Oreochromis niloticus: one gene and its partners. The protein of the gene in region 1 interacts with the protein of each later gene in a biochemical or structural test. Links are inferred from orthologs where the notes say so. Each region holds a gene or a part of one and is shown in the gene's direction. Other genes may lie near its edges. The genes, in order: rb1, prdm2b and e2f2.

Region 1 (3,754 bases):
GGGTTTACAGAGAACGAAAGCATGGATCCATCCTGTCTTGTTTTAATGGTTCAGCATGTAGTGGTGATGTAATGGTGTAAGGGAAATTTTCTTGGCACACTTTGAGCCCCTTAGTACCAATTAAGCAGCATTCAAGTTGTACCACAGTGTATTGCTGCTGACCTTGACCAACCCTTTATGACTACCTTAGGATAGGTTCTTCCAACAGGATGATGTGTCATATCACAAAACTAAGATAATTTCAAATTAGTTTCTTGAACATGACTGCACGTTCACTGTAGTCAAATGGCCTCCACAGTCACCAGCTCTCAATCCAATAGGGCACCTTTGATGTGGGATGTTGTGGGTGGAAGATTTGCATCGTGGCTCTGTAACAGAAAAATATGCTGCATTTGTGGGATGTTGTCATATAAATATGGTTAAAAATCTCTGAGAAATGTTTCCAGCACCTTGCTGAATCTGTGTCACAAAGTAGTAGTAGTAGTGTGCAGTACTGCAAAATTTGGTATCAATCCAATAACGAGTAAACACAGGGCCAGTATTGCAATAGATAGCAATACCAATACTTTTAACCTATAAAGACAGGCTATAAATAAAGTAGATGTGACTGTCCACACAAAAAGGTTCAGTCATTTTTCACAGTGTATGTTTGACGCATATTTTTTCATTTCCAAAAAATAACTTATATATATATTTTTTTTACACAAGTCAGTGGGTTACATACTGAACTTAACAAAGAAAGTATCAATCCTACTGCGCTAGTATCAATCCAGTACCAATACCAGCAGTGGTATCAATGCTACCAATATTTGGATCGATCAGCCCACCTCTATCACAAAGACTTAAGGCAGTTCTAAAGGCAAAAGGGGATCCAACCCTTTAGTGGCAAAGTGAACCTCATAACATGGCTGGTGAAATGTATTTCCGCATGAAAGTAGGATGCTACTAACAGACAATAGAGGTGATTGAGGGTCCTCTAACTAGGTAATATGTACTCACTGGAAAGGTTTCTTAAAAGCTTGCAGCACAAGTTATTTGTGAATTTTTGCCACGAGAGGGCAACGATTGCACACTTAGAGGTGAAGTTTTACACACTAACAGAGCTGCCAAATAAACATGTACATGTGTGCTATAATTTACACTTATCACCCGCAAGATAAAAACCAGGTGAACGGGATAATAATGGTCATCTAACTGCATTTAATGTCCTCTACCGGGAAGCCTTGACATCGTTTTTTTTTGTTTTTACATGATATTACTTTAACATATATTATTGCAGAGGCACAGCCTCCCCTCCCGAAATAGTGCAGCCTGTAAGTGCCACATAAACTAATTGAGGAACACGACAATGAGTGAATAAACGCTTCCGATATTAAGCAGAAGGTTTAAATGTTGTGGGTTGCAGGTGTATGTAAAGGGGCTATATTACTACTATTTCTGTTCCAGGCGCGTTGGAGGTCGAACAGGATGTTACGTAGACTTTTTTTCCCGCGTTTTCGAGTCCTCGGGTTGGGTTAGTTCGTTTGCGGTTTTTGTCACGTGATCCCGGCGTAACGCTACATCTGTCTGTTTGCAATGACAGACCTCTTGTCTGTGCGTGAGAAGTTATAAATCGGTTCTTTGACAGAAGTTCTGACAACACCGAGTTTAAACGGAGACTGACGATCGCAAAAACACAAATGAACAAAGTCTTGTGGACAGGTTTTTGAGCACTAACCGCCGAGTACTTGTAACACCGCTGCAGCGTCGCCAACGGCGCTTCACCGCGCAGTACGTTGATACAAAACGAGCATCCACAGATCTACAGTTGCAGGAAGTCACTGAGGTTTTGTTGTCACGGAACTCTTGAAGTGGGATTTACACTTAGTAAACAATATCAGTCGGCTTTAAAACATATTTGAGTTTTATCTATTAATTATTGGCCGTTACGTAACCGGATACCAAGATGCCACCTAAAAAACGCAATTCTGGGACGTCACAGAGCAAAGAGATGAAACCCACTGCTGAAAATGCCTCTCCAGACAAGAAGGAAAGTCCAGAGTTGTCTCTTAAGAAGTAAGAGAAGTAATGATCACCTCGCCGTCAAGTCGCAGTAGCTTCAGTTTGTGGCTTTGTAAAATAAAAAAATAAAAAAATGTTGACATTGTAGACAGATATTTTGGTCTTTCCCCCAGCTACGTTTGTCTTGCTCGCTAGCTTGTGCGACTAAACGTCAGGCTGATCTGTTAGCTGTGTCCACCGGCCTAATAACAGCGAGTTTAAAAGTATGTTTAGCCCCATACAACTGGTCAAAGAGTAACTATTCAGTAATGAATGAAATTTGAAATGTAGTCTGGGTATAGCTCTCAAACGCTGTGTTTGAGAGCTATACCCTACTATACCCTGTACCCTGCTCAGACTCTGACTGGCAGTCAGAGTACCTCATAAGACTAGACCGTTGTCTTGAGTGCAGTTGTTTTGATTTCCTGAAACCGTATTCGTGTTTTCCGTGGTTGCTAACCTCTGGTCTCCATCTTTTAGGTACGGAGACAAGGATGCTGAGTTTGTGACTCTGTGCAAGAGCCTTCATGTGACTGACCCTGTATGTGATCGAGCCTGGACGCTGTGGAAAACCGTTCAGGAGTCCGTGGATGAAGCTGCTGTACGTATTTGCACATACTGTAGTTCAGTAGTTCCACTCTACATTTATAATACTGCAGTCCTGTCGCCTGTCCTGGAAAAAGCATGAGTGGAAATCGATCATTTAAATTCCTTATCTTATACAGCAACAAATTAGAACAGTGTTTGACCCAAAGCAATACATATTGCAGGATGGAATGGTGGTGCAGTGGTTATCACTGTCACCTCACAGCAAAACAAATCCAGGCTGTATGTCCTCCTGTTTCTGGTTGGGTTCTCACTGGGGTCAGAACTGAGACACAGTCAGTTTGGTGATTCTAAACTGATTGTCTTTATGCGTTAGCCCTATGGCCTGTCAAGGGTGTTTAACTATAGCATAACCCCGCACAGTTCAGCATTATTTTATTCATTAATAACGGTTTAGTCCATATGACCCTTCTCAAGTATAGAGAAACCAGGGTGTATCCAATCTCTCCTGCAAATCAGAGCTTCTACAACAGGGGTGGGCAATTCCAGGCCCCGAGGGCCGGTGTCCCTGCAGGTTTTAGATCTCACCTTGGGTCAACACACCTGAATCACATGATTAGTTCGTTACCAGGCCTCTGGAGAACATCAGGACGTGTTGAGGAGCTAATTTAGCCATTTAAATCAGCTGTGTTGGTTCAAGGACACATGTAAAACCTGCAGGGACACCGGCCCTCGGTGCCCACCCCTGTTCTACAACACAGGTGTCGAACTCCAGGCCTCGAGGGCTGTTGTCCTGCAGGTTTTAGATGTGTCCTTGATCCAACACAGCTGATTTAAATGGCTAAATTACCTCCTTGACATGTCTTGAAGTTCTCCAGAGGCCTGGTAATGAACTTATCATTTGATTCAGGTGTGTTGACCCAGGGTGATATCTAAAACCTGCAGGACACTGGCCCTTGAGGCCTGGAGTTCGACACCTGTGTTCTACAACATTGTTGAAAGAGATCCAAAAAGAAGACAAGAAAAGGAAAGTCCACAAACATGGCAAATCACAAGCTGTGGGAAGAAGACAACACAAAGTTAGTGATAGGCATGTAAATGCATGGGGAGTGAAAGAAAGTACAATTTGTACTGTTTTGGCCATAAACCCTTTAAAAACCCTTTATGT
Region 2 (3,754 bases), on another chromosome or scaffold:
ATATTTTAAACTAGATGAAAGAAGTGGAAGAGGAAGTGCAGTTAAAATAGAAACTCTGGCTGAGTGTCCTGAGGTGAACTGAGTGATCAAGTAAAAGCATTGCAATTATGTGCACTAATAAGGGCATGAAGTCACACCATAAGAAGCTGCCACATGGATGCTTTCATGATCATTAACAGCAGGAACGGTGTTACCTTTTATTCCTGTTAAAATTAGACAGAGACATCTGCACTGTGCAGAGACAGGTGGTAAATTTTCCTACACATCTGATCACAAGTGTTACAACTCAGCCAGTACTTATAATTTAAAGTGCTGATCTGACCCCAGCCCAGTTCCATCTCCTACAGTCACAGTTCACAGATCTGCAGGCTTGTACAGGAGCTTCCACATGGACAACCAGTATGTGGTATCGCAGCAGCCTCTAGTGGCCACAGGCACTTCCTGTTAGTAGTGAGAAATGTCACGTCTACCCAATTTGCTCGACAGGAACCAGTACTCTTACTATATCTGTGAGGTTACACCACAGCCCAACAGGAACTCCAACAATTAAGCTGAGTTGCTTGCTTTAGCTGTTTATCCCACCCACTTTTTTGTGTATGTGTGTCGAAATAAAGGAATCAGGTTTGTGTGAACTGCTGTGGTGCTCAGAGTGATTAGAAACTTAAAATTTATAAGTCTTTTTTCTCCATTATTAATTTAGCATTATGGTGATCTAGCGCTTTGATTGTGTTAAATAATCTAAAAAAAAACGGTTGTCCTGTATTTTACTTAATCAGACTGACTGACTGAATCATGCAATATATAATTATATGTATATTCATACTGATGTTGATGAAACCAGCTATTGTAAGGCCTTGCTTCCTCAGTTAACATACATAATACATACACACACAATACATAATTTTCCTGAGGGATTAATGACGTATTCTGATTCTGATTAAGTACTTTTACTGAAAAGTTTTCACTCGGCTCTCATTTGAACTTGTTTCTACATTATTCTGTTAAAAAAAATCTTAATAAGTTAACAAAATAAATTAACCAACACGTGCTTGTGCTTTTGGAAACACTAAATCCCATTTCACCCCCGATATACCTCCCTCATTTTGAAATGATGTATATTATTTAAATTCTAAAATACTGCCCTATTAGATTTAGAATAACCGCAATAGAGATATGGCAACAAGGAAGCAACAGCTCCGTTACTTAAAATGAAAAATACATAAAAACAGAGGACGCATTGACACCCTTCTGCCTGCATTTCCACTTCTTTTTTTGAGTTCCTCTCTGCTATTCATGGATGCACAGATGGTACCAGCCTACAGGCCCATTATGCTCACAGATGAATCTAAGCAAGGTACTTAATTGGCATGGTTTCATGTTAGGCTGCAGTGTGGACAGGACTTGGACCACTGCTTGCAAGAGAGGCGAGCAAGGGAGCCTTGCTCTTGTCGTCCACAAAAAAGAAAGAAAGAAAACCAAAACACCCCCCTCCTTCCTCGCAGGCTGACTTGAGAATTATATTTGCCCCATCGCTGTGTGTGTGAGCACGGGTCTGAGAGGCTGCCTCTCCCAACTCCACTACACCGCGATTCGAGTCACTGAAAAGGCTTTCGACTCAAGCCTCCCTCCATCCGCCATTTTCAACAGATTGACAGCAGGTAGAGCACAAAAATCACAAGTTCCCGGTGAAATAAAGCAGGTAAGTGCGCGTATGAGTATCCTAAACCCAACAAACACCTTACGACAGGAAATATTGAGGGAGAAAAACCGCTCCAACCACCTTACTCCCGGCCAGCATCGGGAAGAATAAGGGGAGCGGACGGTTTGCCTACAAGGGTAACAATAAACTGCATCCTTCAGGCGCTTTAGTGTAAGGCTTCCAGTCTGTTTTGTTTGCTTGGATCAACTTTTTTTTTCCTTTGACGATCTGAGAGAAAACGCTTTATAATGCGCTTTACGCACACACCCTAATTAAAATCTCTTGCTGTTTGTTGCTTGAACTTCAGCTAGGGGGGATTTAAACATGTCTGATCACAACTCCAGGAACGCCGGTGGTAGTAAAAGAAAAAATATATAATCAATCTACACCGACTGGCCAATAAAAAGTTAAGCATTTTAGCCTTTATTTTAAAGGGGCATCAATAGCTCAAGCTCGAGTGCCTCAAGTGGAGACAGTGAGGTTTATTGTCTCAGCTATGCCATTTATCTGCCACTGAGATAATGCAACCTCATCATTATGTCATGTTACAGTCGTTAAGGTCAAAATATCTGCTAGTGAACCGCTCGGGTTTTATATCTCTTTATTGGATTGAGTGTAATAATGCGTATGCCTGGTCCACAGAGCCACACATGGGTCAGCTGCTTATTGTTGTCCCTAACAAATGGCTTTTCTGCCAGTTGGGATACAAAGCGAGAGACTTAAAGCTCAGTATGTGCCTGTTATGGAAATAGTTACAGGATTAATTTGCTGAGCTGAAAGTTAATTCCGTGATTAGTTAATAGACAGGAAAAAAAAACCCCTCTAAAACCAACAAACAAAAGATTATTTTGGCTTTTTTTCTCTTTTATTTTTTATGAGTGTAATTTGAAAAGTTTCTGTTAACTTGCACAGCGTACTGATACTAAAGGTGTTAAAGAGCGGCTGCCTGCAAGGCTCTAAGTGGAGTAAGATGATGCTTACTAAATGAATGGAAGTTCACCAGCTTGTGCTGGAGAAGAAACTTGGAGGGGTGGAAATAACAAATGGCACTGACAATTAAACCTGAGAGCTACATTATTAAACTGAAAAGGAATAATATTACACACATACAAGTACACAATCCCTGATTTTTTTCCTTTTCATGGGTGTTTTTTTTTTTTTTTTGCCTCAGTTGCACACTGACTGAAGTCTGTAGTAAATGATTGTTTCATATGCACAATATACTGCTGTATCGCGATACCGCTGAGAATTATTCTTTATAATTCCTGTAAATCAGCCTTACTGAATCTGAAGCATAAACCTTTTAGCTGCTTATGCATCTGGGGAATAAAAATGGCTGCATAATTATTCAGAGCCACAAGAGGCTTCTGTAACAGAAGCTGACGAGGAAATATCTCCAAAATGCTGTCTAGCTGTGGTCAGATTTGCATGCTGCAACTTCCATGTCAGAAAAAAGAACAGCTGTTTCTTTTCAAGAACAGGAAATGGATCACTATAGATAATAAGACATTGTAAGTTTTGCTTTTATCTACTATCGGATCTCAGTTTTATGGACAGACGAGTAAAAACGCAGCATTTTACATGTTGGCGATTAATTCAGTTTGAGAGCGTACATTGAAGTGTGCCACAGTGTTTTAATCAATTTGAATATAACTGCAGATGTTTTAATGAGCCAGGTGCTTTTGACAATCAATGAGTGCTGCTTCATGTCACTTATTGCAGGTCATGGCTATTACTGGAGGTACAGTGGAGTCTTTGAATGAAATTCCAGCTCATGTGTGGAAAGGTTTGCCTGACTATCTGAATCTGGGGCCTTCTGCTGTAAATCAGAGCCGCATTGGTGAGTAGCCGGTCTCATTTCATAACTGTAACAACTTCTGTTAGGACTGGCAACATGTTGAGTTTCATTTGAATCTCACGGCAACATAACCTTGAAACAGACTTCCAGCAACCAATGATTGCGGGGCAAAGCGAGACCAGGCTGGGCCAGAAAGTGAAACTTGAAAATGATAACTGAATCAGAGCTTAAACAAACATGAACCTTAGTGCAAGTCA
Region 3 (3,754 bases), on another chromosome or scaffold:
TTTTTTTTTAAAAGAAAAGAAACAAGCAACAAAGTTTAAAGTACAAAAGGTACATCACTAGAATGCTGTGAGATGTTGCATGTTATGCAGTTGGGATAAAACGTGAATCTGAATTTCCAGTATTGCTAGTTATGCAAGAACACCTACAAATTGTGCAGGATTTTGTGTGAAAGAGGAAGAAACATGAGGGTGGGGATAATATACGTTGCACTCTGTGGGCATCCAGTGCAGTAATATGTGGTGAACGAAGCAAATTTCTTTCATCTGACAATTAAGAATTATCTCCCCATCTCTAATCCAGTGTAATAAGGAGGCAACTATGTCAGCTTTTTTTCTTCACCCTCGGTTTTTTAAAGGCACAGATGCACAACAAACAATAAATTTGTTGTGCATTCAAACCACTTTCAACTTTGATTATTTCATTCAAAATGCCGTTCAGATTGAGGCCGGACAATGGGGCTGCTTTGGTGGAGAGTCTACTTTGTCTTGGCCAAGGGGGTCAAGTCATATGGCTTGGGTTTGGTTGCTGCAAGTGGGGGAGGGGGTGTTTTCTTTCAATACCTCCTCTGAACCAATAAGCAGGAGTGGTACTGAGTGAATCCAATTATCATCTATAAACTACCCCAGCAACACCTTGTAACAGGGAACAGTACACTTTGATCACATAGAATACAATAAAGCAAAATTGTCTTTATTGTTTACAAAAAACATACAGTGTATATTTAATTATATTTACAAAATAAAACTTTAAAAAAAACTTTCCAATCCTTTCTTGCCCTCTGATTTCTAATACACATATTTTATTATGTCCTAATTACCCAGAGAGCAATTCGGCACTATTTGAACATACTGTACATGATTGCGCCATTTGCAGAATCAGACTTCATTTTAATACACTGCAAATTTCATATAAACATATGAAGTTAATATTTAACCGTTTTTGTAATCTTTGACTGTCAAGGAACTGAACTGGGATGCTGTAAATGCAAGTAAGTGGTTACAAGTGGAGTTAAAAAGGCAATAAAAAGTGCTCCAACAACAATAATGCACCTCTAACGTGTGATTATAAAGTCTGGGCTGGTCATTGTCTCCATATCCAGCCTGGCAATGAAAGAACACCATGTCTCGGATGTGTGCTCCTGTCCCTTTAAGCAGATCACTCCCATAGCCGTACAACTGTTTTATGCAAATTAGACAAGCCGAACGTGCCATGAGCCAATCAGAAGCGGCTTTCAGCCGCGGGAGATCCGAATTTCGCGGGATGAAGTTTGGCGGTAAAAAGACTGCTCTGCCCCAGCTCTTGCCCCCTTGTATGGAGAGAGGAGCTCTGAGGTGGACGGACAGGAGTGGCAGACTGGGTCGGATTCAGCACCAGAGGGAGGCACAATAATTTGTTAATCTCCTGCTGGAACCGGATCTCAGTGAGACCTGGAAGCCTTGGAGAATTAAACTTTAAAGTTCTGGACGTTTGAAATAGTTTATTTATTCAGGAAGCTATTCTTTATAACTGGTAAGGCAAGTTTCCTCTACACTGATACAGGACAAAGGATAACAACACCGAACAGCCTGTTGAATGTACTAATGATAAACGTCACATTATAACATATAAGCCTGTACTGCATGTGTAATTCATGCGGCTTGAAGCTAATCCGGCAGTTTACGCTGTGAAAGTTGCTTTTGTTTTGTTTGTGTGTGTTACAGTATAGGCAGTTTATATATTCATAGAGGTCCCGCAGTAGGTGAAGCTTGCTGAGCGATTCAGTGTGCTCAAGTACAGGCACACTTCTGCCTTCGCCTCACCGGTCCGGTTCACTCAGAAAAATGATGCGGATGCCTAAAGGCGTCTCGCCGGCATCGGGTCGGCAGGCAGTGGGGCTGCCTTGCTCTCAGCAGAAGATGAAGCTTTTGTCCACCGGTGGAGTGAAGACCGACTTCTTCCTCGCCGGACTGTCCAGTCCGCAGATGAACACGGTACCGGCCGGATATTTCACCCAGATCTGCAACACCAGCGTGGCCGAACAAAGAGCCAACAGCCTGTATTCAACCCCCCATGGACCCGAGGTTAAACCGATCAGATCATCCTCCGGGCGACTGCCGGTAAATAATCACACAAATATAAGCCTGGGGTCGTGTTTCCTTATTGTATAATATTTAGCGAGGGATTTGCATATGTCCGGAGGAGGAATATTTGACTTTTTTCATTGCTATGCATGTTTGAGAAGGGCGCATTCAGATATGTTTTGACGTGATAAGCCACAGAGGGGCCACTGTGGCTGCTGCTGATGTGCGTGAATGGTGTCTTCTCTCTTTCTTTTTTTTCCTTATCCATGCCAGGCTGTGTGACATCTTCTCCCGCAGTCCAGCTGTAGCTAACACAAGGCCAGACGCCTTGTTCTGTGTTTGATGGTTTTGATGAGCCAGTGGGGGTGCTTAGAGAGAGGCCCCACTCTCTTATGCCCAAAAGACGAGTGCCCCCCCTCCTTGATGCAGCAGAGCTAGTTTTTTTTAATACAAGCAAACAATGCAGGGGCTCAACCAAGCTGGAGGAAAGACACTTAAGGCAAATTCATAGCTTCCCAACACTTGTAATGGGTGATAACACACATAACAGATGCTCCACCCTCACTTCCCATTATGTCAAAACAGGGTCTGTGTTGGACAATGGGAAGGAAGCATAGGTCAGAGGTCATAACCACAGAACAGGTGTATTTTCTGGAGTGTGAAAGTATTACTATCGGAAGCCCTAAAGCATCACAAATAAGTAAAAGATTAACCTGTTTTGTAGAACACGTACACAGTGGGCTTTAACGACGTTTAGCAATGCCGTTCATTTTAAACTCGAATGCTGAAGATTATTTGAAAATCCTGATCTGAGAAGATTGGGTGACACTCAGCAGCTTTTTAGTGCTCCACACCTGTTGTTGTTTGTTGTATTTGGTGTCTTTATTCCAGCTGACTCGTCAGCCCTGGAGTCTTTTTTTAGATTTAATGAATTGCAGTAACGCTAAAGGGGTTAGAGTGTGTACAGGGTTTTCAAATCGCATGTCAAATCCCCAGCCCTAATAGGCCCTTCAAGAGGATTAGATGGATATAAGTAAAGTGAGAAATAGGGTACCACCTGGCATATCATGTGCCAATGTGAACCTGACTGCTGTCAAAGTGTGTATGGGTTGTTGGTTTATAGAATTATTACATGCATTCACGTTTGATAACCTGGTTTTCACCTTGAAATCCAACCTTAAAGTTTGGCCACTAGAATAAGCAAGAATTCAGTTATTAAATGACAGAATTTTTATTTACACCTCAGAAAATTAATTTGTAATTGTTCGACATACTGGATGTGATGTGGTTCAGTAGGCTTTACGACACTACCCCTGTGTACGCAATCATGTCGCCTGTGTTTTTGTGCATGCACACTGTGACCACGGTAACTTCTGTTTTCAAGGGATTTGAATATTTTCAGTTGTTGCACATTGTCACAGGTGCACATTTCAATTTTACCACAAAAACAGGAGCCTGATTCAGGTTGATAGAAGTGACGGCACGGTTGAAAATACGGATGAGGTTTCAAAAAGTTCTCTGATTAAGAAACTTCCTCTGGATCACTTCAGTAAATTGGGTAAACTTAATCAAAGGGAGGGAGCCCACCTTAAAGTTTCTGCTTTTAAACTGATCATTTTAAGTGATTTGATTCCCGTGTCTAGAAATAAGTGGTACAGTGGGCTTTAATGATGTTTGAGCTTATTCCTTCTAT

What was found.
Region 2: the proteins of rb1 (region 1) and prdm2b form a complex in vitro, tested with the Homo sapiens proteins (2 studies listed by BioGRID, with this or other methods). The link is inferred for Oreochromis niloticus from reciprocal best matches to the Homo sapiens genes RB1 and PRDM2.
Region 3: the proteins of rb1 (region 1) and e2f2 form a complex in vitro, tested with the Homo sapiens proteins (2 studies listed by BioGRID and IntAct, with this or other methods). The link is inferred for Oreochromis niloticus from reciprocal best matches to the Homo sapiens genes RB1 and E2F2.

What each region holds. Positions count from the first base shown.
Region 1 is NC_031975.2:11,025,133-11,028,886, forward strand, and holds the start of rb1 (retinoblastoma-associated protein), read left to right. Parts: upstream 1-1,536; 5' UTR 1,537-1,945; coding exon 1,946-2,055; intron 2,056-2,520; coding exon 2,521-2,641; intron 2,642-3,754. UniProt on the Homo sapiens protein: Tumor suppressor that is a key regulator of the G1/S transition of the cell cycle. The hypophosphorylated form binds transcription regulators of the E2F family, preventing transcription of E2F-responsive genes.
Region 2 is NC_031970.2:17,985,096-17,988,849, reverse strand, and holds the start of prdm2b (PR domain zinc finger protein 2), read left to right. Parts: upstream 1-1,384; 5' UTR 1,385-1,699; intron 1,700-3,421; 5' UTR 3,422-3,424; coding exon 3,425-3,539; intron 3,540-3,754. UniProt on the Homo sapiens protein: S-adenosyl-L-methionine-dependent histone methyltransferase that specifically methylates 'Lys-9' of histone H3. May function as a DNA-binding transcription factor.
Region 3 is NC_031983.2:14,406,800-14,410,553, reverse strand, and holds the start of e2f2 (transcription factor E2F2), read left to right. Parts: upstream 1-1,277; 5' UTR 1,278-1,510; exon of another isoform or gene 1,511-1,701; 5' UTR 1,702-1,821; coding exon 1,822-2,097; intron 2,098-3,754. UniProt on the Homo sapiens protein: Transcription activator that binds DNA cooperatively with DP proteins through the E2 recognition site, 5'-TTTC[CG]CGC-3' found in the promoter region of a number of genes whose products are involved in cell cycle regulation or in DNA replication.